4 linked regions of the Canis lupus familiaris genome follow. The protein of the gene in region 3 purifies or fractionates together with the protein of the main gene of each other region. This does not show direct contact. Links are inferred from orthologs where the notes say so. Each region holds a gene or a part of one and is shown on either strand. Other genes may lie near its edges. The genes, in order: RAN, IPO9, AKIRIN2 and PSMA5.

The links.
Region 1: the proteins of AKIRIN2 (region 3) and RAN purify together in Homo sapiens (affinity purification with mass spectrometry; 3 studies listed by BioGRID and IntAct, counting the BioPlex papers as one, with this or other methods). This does not show direct contact. The link is inferred for Canis lupus familiaris from reciprocal best matches to the Homo sapiens genes AKIRIN2 and RAN.
Region 2: the proteins of AKIRIN2 (region 3) and IPO9 purify together in Homo sapiens (affinity purification with mass spectrometry; 3 studies listed by BioGRID and IntAct, counting the BioPlex papers as one, with this or other methods). This does not show direct contact. The link is inferred for Canis lupus familiaris from reciprocal best matches to the Homo sapiens genes AKIRIN2 and IPO9.
Region 4: the proteins of AKIRIN2 (region 3) and PSMA5 purify together in Homo sapiens (affinity purification with mass spectrometry; 3 studies listed by BioGRID and IntAct, with this or other methods). This does not show direct contact. The link is inferred for Canis lupus familiaris from reciprocal best matches to the Homo sapiens genes AKIRIN2 and PSMA5.

The regions. Positions count from the first base shown.
Region 1 is NC_049247.1:1,619,812-1,625,173, reverse strand, and holds RAN (GTP-binding nuclear protein Ran), read left to right. Parts: upstream 1-1,742; 5' UTR 1,743-1,754; coding exon 1,755-1,790; intron 1,791-1,898; coding exon 1,899-1,983; intron 1,984-2,056; coding exon 2,057-2,182; intron 2,183-3,010; coding exon 3,011-3,198; intron 3,199-3,367; coding exon 3,368-3,538; intron 3,539-3,633; coding exon 3,634-3,678; 3' UTR 3,679-3,692; downstream 3,693-5,362. UniProt on the Homo sapiens protein: GTPase involved in nucleocytoplasmic transport, participating both to the import and the export from the nucleus of proteins and RNAs. Switches between a cytoplasmic GDP- and a nuclear GTP-bound state by nucleotide exchange and GTP hydrolysis.
Region 2 is NC_049228.1:1,203,771-1,208,967, forward strand, and holds part of IPO9 (importin-9), read right to left. Parts: intron 4,573-5,197; coding exon 4,297-4,572; intron 4,033-4,296; coding exon 3,866-4,032; intron 3,260-3,865; coding exon 3,126-3,259; intron 2,466-3,125; coding exon 2,343-2,465; intron 1,914-2,342; coding exon 1,809-1,913; intron 1,600-1,808; coding exon 1,523-1,599; intron 1,072-1,522; coding exon 961-1,071; 3' UTR 1-960. UniProt on the Homo sapiens protein: Nuclear transport receptor that mediates nuclear import of proteins, such as histones, proteasome and actin. Serves as receptor for nuclear localization signals (NLS) in cargo substrates.
Region 3 is NC_049233.1:47,343,959-47,349,791, reverse strand, and holds the start of AKIRIN2 (akirin-2), read left to right. Parts: upstream 1-2,047; 5' UTR 2,048-2,151; coding exon 2,152-2,386; intron 2,387-5,833. UniProt on the Homo sapiens protein: Molecular adapter that acts as a bridge between a variety of multiprotein complexes, and which is involved in embryonic development, immunity, myogenesis and brain development.
Region 4 is NC_049227.1:42,891,178-42,896,374, reverse strand, and holds part of PSMA5 (proteasome subunit alpha type-5), read right to left. Parts: intron 4,867-5,197; coding exon 4,740-4,866; intron 2,490-4,739; coding exon 2,422-2,489; intron 1,082-2,421; coding exon 974-1,081; intron 833-973; coding exon 774-832; intron 227-773; coding exon 124-226; intron 1-123. UniProt on the Homo sapiens protein: Component of the 20S core proteasome complex involved in the proteolytic degradation of most intracellular proteins. This complex plays numerous essential roles within the cell by associating with different regulatory particles.

The sequences.
Region 1 (5,362 bases), on a different chromosome or scaffold from region 3:
TCCACTTGGCCCACTTCCTTGCTGAGAATGAATAGTAGTTAACTGTCAACACTTGCTGAGCTTGTGGCTCATCTTACTTTCTGCCTACACCGGCCCTACGAGGTGGGCATCCCCAGCAGCATGTGACTTCTGAGTGCATGGATCTCGTCTGCATTCTTGCCAGCTTTATTGTCTCCACAGTCTGGAACCTACATACTCATCGATTGCATCCAAATTTGTAACTGGGATGCGAGCCGCCAGGTTTGAAAACACGATTTCGTCATCCTGTGCGCAGGATACAGTCACAAAGGCTGCTGACCAAGGAAATGCTTTAACAAAAGGGTGGCTGCCTTTTAGGGTGAGAAAAAGCATCGATTTTGCACCCTTTACCCCCAAGTAAGGTTTTGGCTGGAGCCAGGGACACCGGGTGTGGGCGGTGGGGGGGCCTGAAACACAAGGCAGGGGCCCGCGGGGTCCAGGTGAGAGGAGGGGGTGCGGCGGGGGCCCAGGGCAGGCTCTGCGGACCGGGGTCTGGGAGGAAGGGCCGGGGCCGGGCCGGGCCGGGGGCGCAGGAAGCGGCCGAGAGGGTGATGGAGGCCCGGGGGAGGCAGGTGGCAGATGGACGGGCGGCTCCGGGAGAGGGTGCGGGTCGGAGCGCCCGGGGTGCCGCGAGAGCCCACAGGGGCAGGGCCACAGGGGCAGGGCCCAAGGCCTCCGCACGCGCCCGCTTCCCCCGCGGCGCACCGTCCCGCGCGCCCACGGCGAGGCCCCACGCCCGGAGGCCCGGGGCTTTGTGTCGGCCGCTCCCCGCGACTTTCCCGCCCAAGAGGCCTGCGCTCTCCTCCCAGTGTCGTGGCGCGGCCGCAGCTGGGCGCGCCGCGTCGGCGTCGGCGCATGCGCGCGCTGGAACCCGCCCTTGGGCCGGCGCACGTGGCCCCGCGAGCCGGCGTGCGTCCGCGCGCCCGCGCCGAGCGCGACTGCCGCCCCGCCGCGACTCTCCCCTCCGCGCCCGGCCGACGGGTGTGGCCGGCCGAGCCCGCGGCGTGCGTGCGCGCGCACGCCGGGCCACGTGGGAGCGACGCGGCGCCGTTGCCCCGCCCCCCCCGGCGCGCGCCGGCGTCGGCTGCGTCTCCGGGCATTTGAATTGCGCTTCCGCCATCTTCCAGCCCTCAGTCAGACGGGCCGGAGACGCTTCTGGAAGGTAAGGCAGCGGGGCCGGGCCGGGGGCCGCGGGGGCCGCGGGGGCCAGGGGCCGGGGGGCCGGGGGGCCGGGGGGTCGGGGGCCGGGCGGGGGCCGGGCGAGGGCCGGGCGAGGGCCGGGGCCGGGGCCGGGCGGCAGTCGTGCGGGCCGGGGCGGCGGCGGCGGCGGCGGCGGGCTCTCGCCGTCCCCTGCCGTAGAGACCGAAGACCGTGGCCGGGACGCCAGTCGCGGTGGGCCCGGGCGGGCGGCGGCCCCGGGGCGGCGCGGGCCGGGGGGCGCGCGATCGGGGCCCCGGGCGGCCCCGGCCTCCGCCCCGCGCGCCGGCCTCCGCCCCGGCCTCCCGGCCTCCCTCCCCCACGGGCGCGCCGCCAGACCCGCCGCCGGAGCAGCGCCGCTCGCCCGCCCGCCCGCCGCCGGGAGCGCGCCGCGGCCCCCGCCCCGGCCCGGGCGTGCGCGCGTGGGGCCCGGCCGCCGGAGCCCCTTTGTGGGCCCGGGCACGTGGGGCGGGCCGGCCATGTGGGCCCGGGCCCCGCCGCCAGCCGTCCCACGTCTGTCTCCCCGCAGCACCAGCGCTATGGCTGCCCAGGGAGAGCCCCAAGTCCAGTTCAAGGTGGGTGGTGCGCGGGGGCGGCCGGGGGGAGCGGGGCGGCGCGGCCCGGGGGGCGCCGGGGCCTCCCCTCCCCCCCCCCGCCCCCCGCGACCGCGTCCTGTCTCGTAGCTGGTGCTGGTTGGCGACGGCGGCACCGGCAAGACCACGTTCGTGAAGCGTCACCTGACGGGTGAATTCGAGAAGAAGTATGTAGGTACGTGGGGGGAGCCGCGGGGGCCCCCGGGAGCGGGGCGCGAGCGGACCTGACGGCCGTGCTTGTGTTGCAGCCACTCTGGGCGTGGAGGTCCACCCCCTCGTGTTCCACACCAACAGGGGCCCCATCAAGTTCAACGTGTGGGACACCGCCGGCCAGGAGAAGTTCGGCGGGCTCCGGGACGGCTACTACATCCAAGGTGGGTGAGGGCGGGCCGGCGGCTGCCGCGTGCTGTGTCATGATGGGCGCAGCGCCGAGCCTGGAGCCTGGAGCCGGGACCCGGAGCGGGCTCCTCACCTAAGACAATGAGCATCCCACGAGGTGCTGCTGTGGCTGCCGGAGTCGTTGGGGCTGGTTGGGGGTTTTTTTGCTTGTTTTTTTCCCTCAAGGGCACTGTAGAGTGGCAGATAAAGACAGGAAGAAAATGTCATCTGGGATCTCTTGTGATGAAAGATGATTGGGAGTCCTTCCATATTTTGCATCCTTTGCTATGTTACAGATACACAGCTTTTTTTTTCTCTTCTTAAAAAGTGTTTAATTAGGAAACTCCTAGACTGTACATACTTCGGTTTGTTGTCTCAATTATATTAGAATTGTGTTCCTCATAGGTCAGTATGTAGGCCTGCGTGTTTTAAGGCAGAATAACATACTCTTTTGTGTAGTTTAGGATCATTTAAAGAGCAGGTTCTGAGATCCTCAGAATAGAGGAGACCAGTTGTCTTAGGGTGCTGCTCTATCGGTAGTCTACTTGAGATTCTGGGATGGGACGGAATTAATGAAGTATTACGGGAGAGATTTGATAAGCTAGGCTGGTAGTTCACACTCACACAGAAAATGAAACTTTAAATCTTGTTACGTATTACAGTGGTTGGAGATCCTTAAACTTGGAAGAGAGAGACATTGGGGTGTAGTGAGTGCAGAAGCAGAGGTAGCCAGATTGGGCCTGTCCCCTAGCCCGTGCTCCTTAGCATTCCTCATTTGTGCAAGAAGTCATACATGTGTAACAGTTTTCCTACATCTGTTTCAGCCCAGTGTGCCATTATAATGTTTGACGTAACGTCAAGGGTTACTTACAAGAATGTGCCTAACTGGCATAGAGATCTGGTACGAGTGTGTGAGAACATCCCCATTGTGCTCTGTGGCAATAAAGTGGATATTAAGGACAGAAAAGTTAAGGCAAAATCTATCGTCTTCCACCGAAAGAAGAACCTTCAGGTATGTTTTTTAAAACTTAATTGTTTTTCTCTAAGATGAAACTACGGTAATAGATCCACTAAAGGAAATTGTGTCTGTGGTATGGATGGAAAAACTATTTTTAGTTTTAAACATTTCAATGATCCTCAAGAAGTAGATTTTTAAAAACTTATTTTATTTTATGGAACAGTACTATGACATTTCTGCCAAAAGTAACTACAATTTTGAGAAGCCGTTCCTGTGGCTTGCTAGAAAACTAATTGGAGACCCTAACCTGGAGTTTGTCGCCATGCCTGCTCTTGCCCCCCCAGAGGTGGTCATGGATCCAGCTCTGGCAGCACAGTACGAGCACGATCTAGAGGTAGGTGGCAGATGGGTCCGTCAGTGGGATCTCTTGGGTGTCCCGTGTCCTGACGGCTCTAACCCATGGTGTCCTGACGTTGTGTCTCTGTCCAGGTTGCTCAGACGACCGCGCTCCCGGATGAGGATGATGACCTGTGAGAAGTGCAGCTGGAGGCCAGCGTCAGAAGTCTAGTTTTATAGGCAACTGTCCTGTGATGTCAGTGGTGCAGCGTGTTTGCCACTTTTATTATATAGCTGAGCAGAACATGTGCTTAATCTTTGGGATGCTGAAGGAGATGAATGGGCTTCGGAGTGAATGTGGCAGTTTAAACAGTACCTTCATTTTTTTGGACCTGCATACTTAGCTGTTTTGGAACGCAGTTGTTTCCTTCCTGAGTTTCAGATAATGAGACTGCTACAGTCCCATCACAATATCCAGTGGTGAAATCTCGTTTGTCACTGTCATTCCCATTCCTTTTCGTTTAGAATCAGAATAAAGTTGTATTTCAAATATCTAAGCCAATGAACTCCTCCCTTGTTTGGTAAGCATCTTAAAACCACTAACAGGAAAAGTTGTGCCACGTTACTGTTGAACTGGCCTTTGCTATTCTCCCTTAATTTGAATCTTTGCAGGTTAAGTTCTTGTCTATTTGTACATTTGGATCCTCTCACACAGGTGACAGGGCAGACATCCGCAGTATTCCGTTTGGTAGATTGTTAGAGGGGTGAGCATCCGTGGTGAAGCTAAAACGATGCCCGTCGCATCTGCCTTCAGACTGGGTGGTGTCACCTGGGGAAGAGCTTTGGACTTCTGTGACCTGTTGGAACAAAACTACTAGACGTTTCGGATAGGCATTTTAAGAATTACAGTTAACATTATTTTGTGACCAGTAACCGTGCTCTCATGTAGGGATGTTCAGAATCTGGTAGAACGATAACAGATGACGGTGGGGACTTGACAGGAGTCTCATTTGTTAAAAATGAGTGTAAGTTATGCATTGATTTGATTTTGTTTTAATGTTAACGTCTAATGTGAAGCTGGTACTCTAGAAAGATGTTCCACGATTACCCGCTGCTTTCAAGTATTTCTGAGTGTTAAAGATGCTGAAGAGTAAGGATTTAAGTTGGGCATCTCACAGCTTTGATGCTTTTTTTTTTTTCTGAAGGATTTTTGTGGCCAATTCAAAGGCACGAACACTAAATAGAAAAGTAGATCTTAGAATGGCTTCTTGAAACGTGAAACATTGCAAAGGTTTCGTTGGATCAAACCATTTATCTTTGTATGATTTACACATTTAAGAACGAGTGGAGTCTGTCTTCAGTTTTGACCCCATGGATGCTATACTGTAGCAGTTAGGAGTCTTAAACTATTATGCTCACTTGAGCACTGCTATGGTTGTTTACCAAAGTTCCTTAGATGTCCATTTCTCCTTAAATGGTTACTTTCTTACCTAAAAAGAAGGTAGGAAGGGGTTGCTTAAATATATGGAAAAATGAAATACAGAGGGTAGAATTTAATAAATTTCAATATTGAGTAAATGTATCAATAGATGTACTTCAATTACTGTAAATGTTACACTATATTAGGTTCAAAACCAGATTTTAAGTGACTTGAAAAGATCGTTCCCATCATTGGGATGAAACCTTTTTCAGATACGTAATAGGAGGCATATGTGTTTGTGACCTGTGTGGAATGCAAGTGTGTGTGACGTGACTAAATCTGAAATGTAACTGTTAAATTTGGAAGCTACTTCACTTACCTGTTGAAAATGGGATGGGAGAGAATTCACAAGTCTTACTGAAAGAAAAATTTGCTGCAAAATATATTGCTTCTTTTTGTCTG
Region 2 (5,197 bases), on a different chromosome or scaffold from region 3:
TCTAAAAGGAACAGAAGGCAGATGTGCTGGGACACCTTATACCATGCGGACTAAATTCATTTGTAAAGATTACTTTACTCTCCTAGAAAAATACACATTGCAAATTTGAGGGCTACAACTTAACCACTTTAGAGGATTCCTGAGGGAGAGGGGGTAACCTTTGAATATCAGACTGTGTGGTGATGTGTGGGAGAGGAATATTAAATATAGTTGGGTCAGGAGGACTTTAAAAAATGTTTTTCCCATTTTTTTTTTTTCCTAAAAAAGGAAAAACAAATTGCCATCTGTCTGGCTTATTTTGTGTGTGTGCATGTATACGCAGGAATAGCTTGGGGGGAGGTGCTGAATCATGCAATGAGGCAAAACCAAGATGACGTCCTTTGACAGGGGAACCTTAGTGTTGTAGGAGGGAGACAAGGAGAGGTCACTGGAGAGGGCTCAGAAGGTAGCTGCTCCCCTCGTTCCTATGGAGAACCCAGAGCATCTGTGGTGGAGGGCAGAAAGCACAATCATCTCTCAAGGGTATTCCTATCTGAATACCTCAGATGTCCTATGGAAGTAAACAGGTCTGTTTTAGAATATAAATGGTCATGACTTCCTGTGCTCCTGAGGTGGGGCAAAATAATCCATGAACACATAATCCTTCTGGGCAATATGTTTCGGGAGCGGCCAGCAGAGGACTCTAGGAACAGAAGTGGGGGCACAGTTGGGGAGAAAAAGGTCCTAGAGATGGAGTATCTTCAGGGGGACTTTGAGAAATGTCCTTTGTTCCAGTATTCCTAAGTGACAGCACTGGTGAGCTCAGTCTGAATTGTCAGTGTCACTCTGCAAAGGCCAAGGGCCGAGTCAGGAGGCCACTCTAGGTTGAAAAGAAAGTACATGTCGAGGCCAGTTAAGGGCTGCAAAATGGTTTGTGGCTGAGCCAGGAGGAGCAAATGTGGAAAGTCTCCATTTTTTTTTTTAGATGCCAATGGTCTGCAGAACCCGCCTCTCGTTGTCATTAAGGTGGCCTGAGAACATTATGTAGCAGGGCTGTTGAGCGAACTGGCAGAGGAAGTCCGTGAGATATGCCTGGAGGGAAGAAAAAGAGTGGCATTACTGAGGGTTCCCAGGCTCACCATCCACAGTGGGGCAAGCACAAGTGGTATAGGAAGCAGTGGCTCTGAGACAAATGCCAACACCCCGAGGGATGGCTTTCTACATTCTTGGATCTAGTTTAGGTTTAACCCAGGGACTCAATTCCGTAAGGAAATGAAATTTTCCCAACAGATCTCCTATTCTACCGGGAAGCCTTCACAAGACAGCTGGGGTTGCAAGAAACTGGACTGCCATACTGGTAGGAATAAAATGCTAAGGTGCAAAGTCCCAGTCCACCCAGAGTCCTTGACTATTCAGCAGGACAGGAACTCTCTGCCCTGAAGCTCTCAGGACAAACTACGAATGAGTGTGAGACCATATTCCTGTTTCCGTGGCTTGAGACATTGTCACTTGCAAGACATCTATCTTCTCTGGACATTCTCACCTGCAGATCAATCTGATAGAGAGGATCCTTCAGGGCATCAGGGTCATCTTCCTCATCATCCTCGTAGTAATCCTCCTCTGTTAGACACAGTCACCACAGAGAGGGGTCAGGGCAGAAGCTCGGGCCCCAAGCGGGAAGGCATCACACGGCTAGGGTAGATGGGCTAAAGAAGCCCAAGGTACATCCCTTGTAGGCCCACCTCCCCCCTTCCTTTGGCACCCTGCCTCTTGGGACCAGTGCACAGAAAAGGTACATAGCATGGCTGCCCTCTTCTCAAATGGCTTACCATATTTACTTGTAGCAAGAATGTCAGATAAGAGTTGGCCAGCTAAACCATCCTCTTCCTCCTCTTCATCTTCCTCCTGGTCCTCCCACATATCATTGGAGTCATCTACTCAGAGATGAAAAGCAGCTGGAACATGCTCACACATTGTCCCTTCCCAAATGCAAACAAGCCAGAACGGAAAGGTCCCATGGGTTTCCGTAATGTGGCCCTATGGTCAAGCCCTCACAGTAAGTTTAAATGGAAGAACCGAGGGTGTTCAGGTGGGTAGATAAAAGGTTGAGAAACTCCTAAGAAAAACCATACAGGAAGGGCTAACTAGCCTGCCTCCTAGCTACAGCACACCCCAGCCTCTGAAGAGATTTCACAAGGCAGACCTGAAGAGGTCTTCACGTGCATAGCAGTGCTAGCCACATGACAGGCATGATACAAACATTTAAAAAAAAAACAGTAATTCAATAAACCAAATTGATGATTTGAACATTTGTAACTTGATCTGCTAGGCTAACAGTCTGCTGGGAGTAAGAGCCAGTGCACCTTGATTCCACTCTGCAGGAGTGGCCTGGCGTGCGGCGTTGGCCTCCATGACGTTGGAGAGCTCATTGATGATCAGCTTCAGGATCTTGACCAGCAAAGGAATGTTTGTCCAGCGCTCAGGGTCTGGAAAAGAAAGGAAAGGCTTCTAGGAAGACTGTCACTGTGCTAACTTCTGGCACTGCTCACTGGACACAGTTTACCAGCCCTCAGGCTTTCCACCATCCCAGACTATATCCAGCTGCCACACAACAATTTAAAGTTAAATAACTCCATTCTGCTTGGTCTAAGAGTTCAGAAGTTAGGACAGATAAGAGAGTTCAGGAATTAAAGGAGATAGAAAATGGTTTTTGCTGGTAATAAAGCTTGGACACCAAGTAACTGTAGAGAGTGCAATACTCCAGTGCCCATGACTTGCAGTTTGAGAAACAGCAGAGGTGATTATAAACCTACGGCTGAATAGGGCAGCTTCGCACCTGCTGCCTACAAATCACTAAAATCATAGGCCAAAAGCAATCCGATAACAAAGACATGCTGAAATGGGTATCAGAGCCCCCGAATGAAGCTGGAAGCTGGGGTACCTAAGATTGTTTTTGCCAATTTCCAGCAAGAGGAAGGAGCCGTATGTTCTGATCCCTTTTTTACCTATAGTTTTGTTTCTTTTTATCAAACCCATCACTAACAATTATGTTTAAAAAAAAAAAAAACTAGATTACAGTACATCCCTGCCTTCCACCCCACTTTAGCCCCTAGGGAGGGGACTGGAGGGGCAGCAGCATCACCCACTTTTGGCTGACTTAGAGCGGGTGCGGATGCCCTCATCCATGCTGTAGATCTCCTCTCCCTTCACGCGGATATCCTGTAGCCGTTTGTCATCTGCATTGATGCCATGCTGGAGCAGTTTACACAGTGCCACAGAGCTGGCAAGGAAGAGCCAAAAAGGGTCAATCAGCAACCCATCTAGAGTTTATTCCAAGGAGATAAGCAATTAAGTCCTAAGACTCTTGATTGGTGAAAATTCTGTTCACAACTAATTACAAGAGATAAGAGGGTTCAGCTGAAAATGAGATTTAGTGTTCACGAAGATGGCCTAATGAGAACTTTTGAACTTCTTAAACAAAGCTGGGGGGGGGGGGGGGGCAAGGATCACAATGGCTGGCCACCTGGAAAGTGCAATGCGGTAATGAGAACCAGTGGGAAGCAAGTCTAAGATAGAAAGTTAGCAAGCCAGGGTTAGAAGGCTTGGGTTTATAAAGGAGAATAAGCCACTAGCAGTGCTTGGCTTGAAGTCTGGCAGAGGAGGATCTCTAGGCAGCAGAGAGGAAAAACAAGCACGGTCTACCTGTGACTATGTTTTGGAAATTCGAGATGGCAGCTATTCAAAGACACCGACTAACAATAAAGATACAGAGGGAAAGGGAATACAAGGGGCAGTTTGACATGTTGAGCAAAAATCAATGAAGCAAGTCAGAGAAGGAAGAAATGCAAGGAGAGGCGGAATGCCCACAACAGAAAGACGGCCCTACCTGACTTTGCCTTCATACTGTCCATAGAACAGATGCTGTCGGCTCGTCCATTCAGCCATTACAAACTCCAGGGCGGGTTTGCCAGTAGGTCCCGGGAGGCTGCACAGGAACTCCAAGAGGGGTTCCAGCTGAGTGTGCACCAGATGGGCGAACACCATGATCAGAGACTAGGAGGCAACAAGAAGGACATCTGCTTCAGGGAAACCAATGTCAGAGACTTGGGAGATGAGAGGGAATGGGGCCAGCCAGGCAAGAACTAGAGGACACGGAGACTTCCCTGTCAGTATTTCTTGGGCTAGAACACACAGGTGTTACTTAACTGTTGTCTAAGGACAGTATGACAGTAAAAACACCTCGGGACCTGTATACTGATTTCCATCTCTACCACCTGGAGGTTGGTTGGGAAAGCCCAACTCCCACTGTCCTCTTACCTGCATGACACTGAGCGTCTCTGCCTGCTGCATCTTACTGAGGATGGCACGAAGAATCTGGTCCAGATTTTCCCCCAGCTCCCGCCCTGCCTTGGAGATGAGGGTGGAGACAAGGCGACCCACAAAGGCCGCAGTGAACTCTGAGGTACGGGGGTCCAGGAGTTGGCTCACCACTTGCATCACGTACCACAGCCCATTGTGGCCCTGCTCGTCGTGCCACTGGGCCACCTGCTCCAGCGTCACTGACACGTAAGCTCGCAAGCACTCTCCACCATTCTGGGGAGACAAAGGTGGCAAACAAGATTAGCAACAGTGGGAACAGATGTCAGGAGGCCCTCAGTCTGTACGGGCAAATGTTATTCTTAGAGGCTTATGCCTCATAAGAGTGATGAGCCTACAGGGTTTGTGGTGGGTATATACTGTTGGAGTCAGGAGTTTACTGTTACAGATAGAGCCATGCACTTTTCAATCCTTGCTTCACCTAATCAACTATCTCAAAAATGGTTATTTCTGATCACAAGGGATATTGGCCAAGTAAACGAAGTTTTAACCATAAAGATCTACCTCCAGTACTAGAAAAACATGTTTAAGATGCAAGCAGTGATTACAGATACCGAAGCTCTATATGGGAATAAACAAGACCTATATGAATCAGTGTCTGCCTAGAGATTTCCAAAGGCTTATCATCTTGTTGATTTTCTTAGGTCAGAAAAGACTTGCTTTAGAATTTCAAGTTTACAGGTCTGTAATCTCATCCACATTAGCAATGCCCAGATATAGATGGGAAGCATGCCTGGCATCCATCCCTTTTAAGATTACAACATATCCCAAAGCAGAGAATGCTTGGCTTCTGCAGTCTGGACCCTTCCTGGGTTCCTTAGTTAAATACAGATTTGAGAGA
Region 3 (5,833 bases):
CTTCTCAAATATGGACATCTCACACTGGGAAATACTGAGGTTAGAACATAGGACTTAAAAAAAAAAAAAAGAACATAGGAATTTTGAAAAAACACAATTTAATTCCTAACAGTCCCTTCTCCAAGTAAGTTGTATAGCTTAAGGTAGAGTCTTAATTTCAGAAAATATTTATCAGGAATATAAATGCTTTGTTATTTGCTTCCCACAGCTTAATCTATCTTTTCCTACTCATTTACATAAAATATGTGTATTCTGTTAATTTCATATCATAGGTTTTATGTTTCATGGTGTTTAGCATTCAGCAAAAATTTACCTATTGGGTGTCAGAGTTAAGCCATTGTTTCATTAAATGCTGATGATTTTCAAAAAAATATTTCCCAAACAACATATTTTAAAATAAAATTAGTGCAGTTTAGTCATTGACACAATGTGATCAGAACTGCTGATCTTTAAGGTGTTGAACAATTCAATAAAACAGGAATATATTAAACTAGTCACAAATGAGGAATTATCGACAAAATGGTTGAAATGTCTTTCAGTTACTAAATTGACAATGGGAATACATAAGTACTATACTGAAACTAGTATAGTGATATCCAAGATCATTAGAGAATATGGCATTCACATGATCATTTGAGAATATGGCAATAACTAGTTTTTGTATTGGACTGGGGATAGCTTCCATAGGCAAAAGACTGGTGACAATTTTTTACATTATTACTACCGTATTTGATTGTTATTTTAGGTACCTGAGTAGCAGTACAAAATTTCCTCTTTGCTTATAAAATGGGTTCATTATCTACTCCTTTAGACATTTCATTATGATTTTTTAATTTTTAGAGTTCAAAAGATATACTATACTACAATATTCAACAGATAATACAATTTCTGGTATCACTCGCTTTTATCCAAAGCAAAATAATTTGGCTTTGTACTCTTTCAAATTTATTCGTTTACAGGGTAAACCTGGTTTTGCAGAATTTAATAAATGGATGCAAGCAGCTACCTGGGAAGGGCAAAGCATCCAGTTCACTCGAGGATCCTGTAATCTGATACTAATAATGTTGCTCTCCCTTTCAGTCCTAAGTATGTTCCATAATCTCAGTATTTCCTAGCCTCTCATTGGGACAGGTTTTGTTTTTGGCACTCTTATTACCGAAATTAATCTGTCTTGAACTGTTGGGTTGGCTAAGTTTTCTATTTCCCATTTGTTAAATCACTGTGGGAATGGTATCAGGACAACTATGTCCTGAATTTTCAAGGTCTTTTAAGCCTATTTTCTGCATCAGTTGGCTTTCCTCTCTTCCAGTCTCTCCCAGGCTTTTCTCTTTTCCCCTTTTGCTTAGCTCCTTTTACACTCAAGCCGTGTAGGGGATTTAAATTCCAACCCGGAACTCGGAATGCCGCGCCTTGAATGACGGGAATCGTAGTTTTCGTGACTCCTCCCTAATCGCTTTTCACGCCGATTCCCTTCCACAGTGAAAAACGACAACTCCCAGAATGCGCCTGCGGGGTAGCCACCCCTGTGCGCACGCGCCCTGAGGCCGCAGAATTTGAATCGGCGGCGTTGTTATTGACGCCATATTGGGGCCGGCGGCGGGTGGAATAGTCGTACAGAGGAGGGGGAAGCGGCTGGACGTGTTCGATTGAGCTCCTGCCGCCGCCTCCACCTCGCAATCCCTCCACATCGACCGCCGCTCTCAAGCTGCTGACCTTACTCGGGCTTACTCGTGGCCGCGTTCCAGCCTCATACCTGACGGGGCTGGTTTCGACTTCCGAAGGGAGCCGGTCTCAGCGCAGGAGCGCCTCAGGCGCGGCGCAAAGCTCGAACGGACGGCGGGGGCGGCCGGAGCCTCTCCCGGGGGAGCTGTGCCTGAGGAGGCGGAAGAGCCCCCCTGACGCGGCTGTCGTGAGCGGCCGCCACCGCCCCTCCCGCTCTCGCCTGGGCCGGCCCGGCCACTGCCCCTGCCGCGGCGGCAGCGGCGGCGGCGGCTCTCGCGTCCTCGCCGGCGCTGCACCACCCCGCCTTCCTGCTCTTGAGCCCGTCGGTTAGGCTCTCCTCGGGTCCCCGCTCCCCCCCCGCTTCCCTCACCCTCCCCTCCCGTCACCTCTCCCCGACCCCACCCGAGTCCGGCCTCGGCTGCCCCGGCCATGGCGTGCGGCGCCACTCTGAAAAGGACTCTGGATTTCGACCCGCTGCTGAGCCCAGCGTCCCCGAAGCGGAGGCGATGTGCGCCATTGTCGGCGCCCACCTCGGCTGCTGCCTCTCCGTCGGCGGCGGCCGCCGCCACCGCCGCCTCCTTCTCGGCCGCCGCCGCCTCGCCGCAGAAGTATCTCCGAATGGAGCCGTCCCCCTTTGGCGACGTCTCCTCCCGCCTCACCACAGGTGGGACTCGGCCCCGCGGCCGCCGGGGTGGGCTGGAGAACGGGGGTCCCGGGACGCGGAACCCGGCCCCAGGGATGGGCTTGCCGGGTTGGCCGTCCTCCTTCGCAGAAGTAGCAGTGGAGCGGCCGCATTTCTTCAGTTGGGTCCTCTGGCCCCGGCGACACAATAGAAGTGGCCTGGTGTCAAAGGGGTGGGGGAGTCGGGAGGTGGGGAGGGCAGGGGCTGTGCCTTGCCGGGTATTGTGGGGAAGAGGAAGATCCTTTTCTTTGGGCTGAATGACTGGAATGGAGTGTTTCCGTAGTCTGGAGAGCCCCAGCGGAAATGATCAGAGAGGGTGATATTATTCATAAATTTAGGCGAGAGAAGAGTAACGTTTCGCCCGAATCTCGATATCTGTCTCCTCGAATCGATTGGTCGCAGCCCTTAACTGTGGGACTGGGTGGTTTGAGGCGAGGCAGCAGCCCCTCCTCCAGTTCAGACATGGCTGATTTTAGTACAGAGGGGGTGGGGGGTGGGGATGGATGTCACTGGGGCGAGATCTAGGCCTGTCATTAATCACCCACAAGAACGCCACTTTGGCTGAGTCAAGACCTGTTTCCCTAGCAGGGTCAACAACAAAGAAAATGCTCTTCCCGAGTACTGTAATATGATCGTACTATGCGTCTAGACCCTGAGAAACTTGAACTTTTAATGAAAAGCGAATTGTACTGAAAATTGGGCCTGAGTAGTTGCTTCTGGTTGGAGGTGCTTTATTTCTCAACAGGGTACGGTGGGGTGGCGGGGGGTGGGGGGGTGGAGAACAGCCTAGGCCTTGAGAGTAATAAAGAAATCAACCCAAGACTCTAAGGCACTTAAGACTGTCTTTGCTTTTCATCTTGAAACATTTCCTGAAAGTGACTATGGGGAAATGCCTTTTGGCTGCTTTGTACTGCATGTGTGTGTGCCCAGTTTTTTCTGTACTTTGAAAATCCTTGTGTGCCCCTGGCACAGTCCTAGGATAGGCTTTTTGTGGACTGGTAGTGTAAATCTCTTTGTGAGTATAGTATGCAAAGGTTTCATATTTGAGCCTTTAGTGATATCATTTGCAGACAAAGCCTTTTCATAGTTTAAGTGTTTTATTATCAGCTTTTAAAAAACCCGTGGGCAGTATATACCTCTATATTTGGTAACTTCCATTTGGAATTGTTTCGTTCAAGTCAGGTTTTTAAATATCCTTCCCCAGATTTTTAGGGACACCCTCAATGCCTAGGCTACCATTTCTGCTATTAAATATTTGACTAACTTAAGGATACACTATTTTAGAGTTTTAAAGAGTTTTCAGAAGAATTCTCAGTTTTATTTAGTAACTCTGCCTAAACTGCCTTGTATGTAAAGGCATTGGTTGATTGACTGTTAGGCTTTGCATTAAAAGACAATCAGTGTTATGAGCTGGTGATTAAATTATTTTTAGATTTTTGTCTTTTTAGTCAAATGATACTGAAAATTGAAATGATACCTAGGAATCCGTACTTAACAAATAAGGCCACTTAAAAATAGCCCTGGCTAACTAGCTATAAATTTCAGGGGAGCCGGTGAATTAATACAGTGTTAGGTTTGGGAGTTTAGTGTTAGGTTTGGGATATACTTTAGTATATCTCAATGCTGCAGTAGTCTTGAGCATATATGATTAACCAGCCAGGAGCTATATTTGTCTTCACTTTAAAGGGAATTTATTCAGGATTGTGATCTTTTACAAATCTGTCATTTCATTGATGCATTTGTAGCATTGGTTAATGCTGTTGGCTCCACATTGTCTCAAATTTCAATTGAGTGGATGATAATTTAGTAAATGACTGGAGTAATTGAAATTGTTTAAATAAGCCTGATGTTTCAAATTCATGTTTTCCAAAATATTGCTGTCATCTTCGGGGTGTTTTTAACATCTATTCTGGAAGTTTGATCATATCCTGAACTCTTAAAATCACAGCCTAATTGATCATTTTGAGCCTGCTAAAAGATTTAATTTTTTCAACCGACTTGAGTATTAACAGAAAAAGTTGACTTGAGGAAAGCAGTTGAGATTGTAAAGTTTTGAATTGCTAAAATTTACTTTTTTTTTTACTGTAATTTTGAATGATATTCTACATGAAGTTTAATTTGGCTTTTGTTTTTAGATGGCCAGCTTGGGTAGGCTCCTGTGTGGTTTTTGTAATGATGTCATAATGGGAGCTGCAGTGTTGTGCAGGTATAAAAGACCTTTTCAGTTATCATGTCCCCAATCTTGGAAATAATTTTTCCAAGCACTTAATTTTTAGATTTTTGTTTTAACAGTGGTGATTCTCAAACTTTGCAAGAGTAAATATCTGTATATCTGTGGCTGAAATAAATAGCTAGGGTTGGAAATGGAAAGTGATTTACCAAGTTGAGATTGACTAGGACTCTGCAGAAACTTTGTTTTCCTTTCATTTCTGTCCGTTCAAGTGTAATTTAAAAATTTAGAGCTAGAGTACTGAAATTATTTTTTTTTCCAGAACATGCATATAATTTATTGTTTTATCATTGTTCTTTTCTGGAAACTTAGTGTGTTTTGACGTGTAGTTGAAATGATGTTCTGGCTTTACTAGTTTGAGGAACTTGGGATTTCAACCCTAGTTTATTTTAGTCATCCCAGGAAGGTGATTCGAAAGTTTGACTTGATGACTGTTATTTAAATTATTTAAATCTGTATTTTTCAAACTGTTGCAACTTAATGCCAGGGAAAAGGAAAGGGCTGGTTAAAAAAAAAAAAAAGTTTTATTGGAACCAGCCAGGGTCATTCTCTTCCCCCCCCCCCCCCCCAAAGTATGGCTCATTGCAGGCTACAACTGCAGAGCTAGTATTTGTTATAGAGACTGTATTTTCCCAAAGCTCAAGTATTTACTGTCTGATCCTTTACAGAAAAAGTGTGTCCACTCCTGCCTTTCTAGGATGTCAGCAGTAAGGTTTATAATACCTGGGATGTGAAAAGGGAAAAGTGAATGAGGGTGGGGTGGGGGTAGACTGATTGGGAAAAATGAATACCTCTAGTAGCTGCATCAGTACTCACCCTGGTAAGTTAGTTGAAAAGATTCTGTGCATTCTGTATACTTCTCTGTTGGCTTTTGAAACATCTCACAATATTATCTCTTAGCCAAAGATTGTCATAACATTCCCAAGAACCAAATTATTTTAATAAAACTGAAATATCATCTAACATTACAAGAGACTGTCGGTCAAATCAAACACATTGTTTTTCATAATTGTACTGAATAAGTGGTTTGGTAAGGAGATCCTTCTGTGGATGTCAACTACTTGGGAATTTGCTAGGCACTTAAACACATTGTTTAGGTCTTGTTACCACTGCTCTGGTCTGCTTTAGGAATTGAGTTGGATGAAGAGTTAAATTCCTTTGTAAGAACTTATTGTATTTGCTGGAAACTTGCCATTAAA
Region 4 (5,197 bases), on a different chromosome or scaffold from region 3:
ACAAGGGTATATATAACCGTCAAACTCCTAGAACTCAATTCTTAAGGTCTGCCCACTGTATTATATGTAAATTATACCCTGATTTTAAAAATAATAATAAAAGTTGTGAGAAGGCTCAATTACCTTGTGGTAAACTTCTTGCAAGGAGCTCTGGGCACCCTCTGAAGCAGAGCCAATTGCTCTAGCATCGCACTGTACAAAGGTTCCAGATGGGTCCATATGAAACCTACAAAACTCCCCCAAAGGAGGGGTGGTTAAAATGAAGCGTGGTGGCATTTTAAGAAACAAACATCTCACTGAAGAATATAAATGCTTGGCTCTGCAGCCAGGAAACCACCAAAATACTGAGGCACAGGTCCAAAGACATTCTGTGCCTAGAGAACCAGATCTTTCAAAAAGCGTTTAATAAATTCCTCAGAGATTCAGAAGTACAGATGATATAAATATTGCACCTGAGTAGGCTTACCTAAATAATATTTGAGAATAAGGAGCAAATCAATGTTCTAAAACAAAGCTCTAAAATGCATCCTGACCATAGTAACAAAGTTACTTTTAATTCTTCCCAGAATTAGCAGTGGTGTCAATAGTTTTTCATAGAATCCTCAAATTTGTCTTTCTATATAAAGAGCACACAATCACTGAACTTTAGAGTTAGACGCCCCTCATTTTCTGTAATTCTATAATAATCTTCTCAGTTGATTTAAGCAAGTCCCCAACCCAAATTAAAAATTCTACCAAAAAAGAAACAGGAAAAAATGGCAAATTATTCTTACAGCTGAGGTCCTTTCTCATCAACTCCTCCAAATAACAGTGCTACTCCAAAGGGACGAGACTAGAACCAAAAAACAAGAGGTCTTAAGATAAATGGCTATTGAAGTAGGCGGTCAGAGGGGCTGAGAAAGGTATGTTCAGAAGACAAATATCCTGCATCCCTTAGAACAGCAAGAAAACTTGACACAAACACCACACTCACCATGGCACCTGGATCTGCATCTTCTTCACCAAACTGTAGAGCTAGATTGGACACAGCTTGAGTCACACTTTCCACTGTCATTGTCTCATTGTAGGTGAACCAATGGTTCTAGAAGAAGAGCAAAATGTGGTCTACCTCTTCTTCTTCTTCTTTTTTTTTTTGTTTAAAGATTTATGTATTTATTTGAGAGAGAGAGCACATGTGGTGGAGGGCAGAGAGGGAAAGAGAATTTCAAGCAGACTCCCTACTGAGCACAGAGCATGATGTGGGGCTCACTCCCACAATACTGAGATCATGACCTGAGCTGAAATCAAGAGCTGGACGCTTAACCAATTGAACCACGCAGGTGCCCCTAAAACAGTCTACCTTTTAAATAAGAAAAGCATTAAAGCAGCCCACCATCCCACTACACACATCCCTGTGAACTGTGATTGTAAACTGAATGCTCAGCTCCATTTCGTTTTCCTTAACACTAAACTCAAATGCTTGGGACTACATGAGAAAGAGAAATAGCTCTGCAAATAAACTCTGATCAAAAGGACTCTTAAGTAATGACAGACTAGAGGATGACTCCATTGAAAACCAGTTAACCCCTCATATAACCAAACTTAGTCTTTGCACAAAGTGAATGCTAACAGTTAAGTGCCACTTTCCCTCACAGACCTTATCTCATCATTGTGTTTATTGGTGTTTAAATTTTTTTTTAAAGCTTTTATTTATTTGAGAGAGAGCATGCATGATGAGCAAGGCAGGGTGGGGGAGAGAGGAGAGAGAAAGGGAGTAGCAGACTCCCCATTGAACAGGGAGCCCCACGTGGGGATCAATCCCAGGACCCTGGGATCATGACCTGAGCCACAGGCAGATGCTGAACCAACTGAGCCACCCAAGTGCCCCACTGGCGTTTAAATTAATGACTTACTTGTATATAAGTCTGACAGCAAAGTTGAAAATAAATGCAAAAAAAATTTTACCAATCAGATTTTTTCTTACTGGTCTATTCTCCAAGCAGAAAATATCAGTATTCCTGATCAGTATCTGTCACCTGGAACCATAATATTACTTGCCACAGGAGAGCTGTTATTTGCAAGCCCAACACCAAAGCAGTTGGGATAGAATGCTCTTTAGCTACATCCACTTCTTGCTATGGTGCTCCCACAAAAAGTCAATTAGGGAACAGAAGGCAGTGTAAAGCTTGCTTTATATAAGGCAAATCAAAAAGAAGCAAGAGACTGTCAGCACTATTTGTCAGCTTCCTTAAAGCTGCAATGGTTGGATGGCTAGACCCCAAGCCTCAGAAAGTTATAAACTAGGGATTCTATCCAAAACCACTCCCAACAGCTACATTTGACATTAACACAGATAACCCGCAAGATAGCCCAGGCAGCTATATCGTCATTAACAAGGAACTCAAGCATCATGGTAAAAAAGAGAGATGATGCTAATTTTACCTGTGTCTCCACTCTGGCTTTATCAATTAAAGTCTTAGCATCAGCAATTAGCCCACTCATGGCACAACCTGCAATGTAAAAGCAATAGTGACCCAGGGGCCAAATCCTTGCAGACTCTTTCATCCACTCAGGAAGTAACTGAAATACTGAAATGGAATCATGGCAGCCATATAGCAATCCCATGGCAATATACCCAAGAGACAGATGGGAAATTATTTGATTATCTGTACTGAACACAAATAGAATTATATTACAAATAAATAAAAAACCACCCACAATAACACAGAAGTCCAATAAGATAGAAGACAGAAAAGAACAGCCAAACAAACATGATTTTCCACATATTACATCCTTAAGCATCCCTTTAGCACTTTGTGACCACAATGCACTTTCAAAATAAGCAAACACTAGTATTCCAACAGAAGAAATAAAGATAAAAAAATAACCATCTCACTATGAGCTATGGTGAAAGACCCTATGATAAAATCAAAAGCTTTTTCATCTTTCTGACCAAATACAAACCACATAGTTTAGAGAGAAAGTTTACCTAACGGTCCAAGATGCCAAAGTTATGGCTATTACTTTATATGCCATGACTCAAACTCTGTATCTCCAGCCTAAGCCTTATTCCCACATTTCAAACCTAGCTTAATATCTCCTTGGACGTACCACTGACTCAAATCAAGTTCTTTCCCTTCTAGACTCCTTGGCCCTCACAACCAATCAGACCCCAAATTCTATCAATCTCTATCAAATTGACCTGTCTGGCATTAATCCTACTTTCTCCATTCTCTGGCTACTGCTTTGGTTAAGGCCCTCATTATTTCCATGTGGATTAAAGGAAATTTCTTACGTGGTCTCCCTGTTTCCAGTCTCAAATCCCTTCACTCTACCATGCAACCTTGTTAATCAGAATGGCCTTTCTAAAATATTCATCTGATCATATTACCTCAATGCTTAAAATCTTTCTCATCAATGCAAAGGATCAAGTTCAATCTCTTTAGCATAATAATAAAAAGAACTTCCAACTATCTGATCCCAAGCTCACTTCTTGCTATAGTCTGCCTCCCAATTATACCAAACTGTTTGTGCCAACGTATTCCATATTTTACACCATCAAGGGTTTCTATTCTCTCTAACCACAGTGCTCTCCCTTGCTATACCCAAACACTTGTTCACTTGAACACTTCCTGATCTTTTGCAATTCAACTCAGCTCAAGCTTCACCTTTATAGAATCCTTTTCTCAACACCCACTACCACTGGCTCCAGACAAAACTAATTATTTCCTCCTTTGTACCCCTACTGAGCACATACTATAGCCTTTCTTAATACCTTATATCACTCAACTGCATATTCTTATTTACATGTCCACCTTCACCATTAGGCTGTATGCTTCTGAAATACAAGGACTATGTCTCATTTCTCTCTGTATCCCTGATGACTAGCATGTATCTGGCACACGGTAGGTTCTCAATTTGCTAAAGTGACACTGATCTATCTCCAAAAGACAGGTGACTTGAGTTAAAATAGAAACAATGTTCTAATCTTAAAAGATTAAATCTTAGTTTCTATATCCATGAAAGAAATAATGTCAAGCTCTCAGAGTCACCAGGGCATTTGGTTCTAAGGCCTTCAAGTAATTATTTTACTGATTTTACTGATGTTTCATTAATAAGATGACTAGTAGGTTAAGAAAATTTGGACAGCCAACTAAAATACCACGCTATAAATAAGCAGAACTACTCACCCTGTAATACTATAATGATGCCAGAAGCTAAGGCAGGAGAATTTAAACAGAGACCAAAAAAAAAAAAAAAAAAAAAAAGTGCTGCGGTGTGGGTGAGGGATGTAGAGGGTGACAGAGAGTAAAAAGATAAATCTGAAAACAGAGGAAGAGGACGGATCTGCTCAAATATTCTTATGCTCTCTGAACCTTAGTCACCCTAAAGAGCTTTAAGAATTCCTCTTTTTAGTGGACATCTCTAGTTTTCCACATGATCACTCTCATGGTTTTCTATCAGGATTAACATTATGCATCACTGAAGACCCAATCATAGGGAGCTGGCCGATTCAACCTTTACATAGTTCAACAACCATCATAACATGCCAAGTCTAAATTTGAAGGAGAAAGGAACTTCTGGGAGTAGGTGAGCTCTACAGCTGCTTCCTACTATTATATTATGCACACTGGCCTACTACCTGAAAAACCATAGCTAACAAAGGAATAAGATATTCATCTAATATGCACCTCCCTTGGAAAGCCAAAGAAGACTAACCCAAGCCAGATCCTACAGAACGGCTTTCCCCTACTCCTTACCTATGTGAGCATCGATCTCTACAATTTTCTCAATGCTGCTTGGCTCCATGAGTGGGGAGGTAATTCTCTTCTCCACAGCTAGGCACACACCCTCTGATGTCTGGATCCCAATGGCTGTAGAACCAAGCTAAAAAGAAACGTGTTATGGTTATCGTGTACAGGTTAAAGAACAGTCTCACATACTCACCAGGGATCTCTCTGAATAACTTCACAAGACAGAAGTTTCAAGTCATATCTAGTATGCAGACCCCTAATAAGTAATGTAGTATTCCTATCTATGGCAAGAGCACTAATTTACAGAATTTTGTTCTTCTAACGGGAAAGTTCACTAAGTTCTTAAAAATATGTGGGAAAGGATCAACTCTAATGCCAATATTTTGGAGGAGCAGATTCTAAAGTTCTAAACAGGCATGCAAAAAAACAATAAAACTCTAATGTTTTTCTTTTCACCTCTGCCA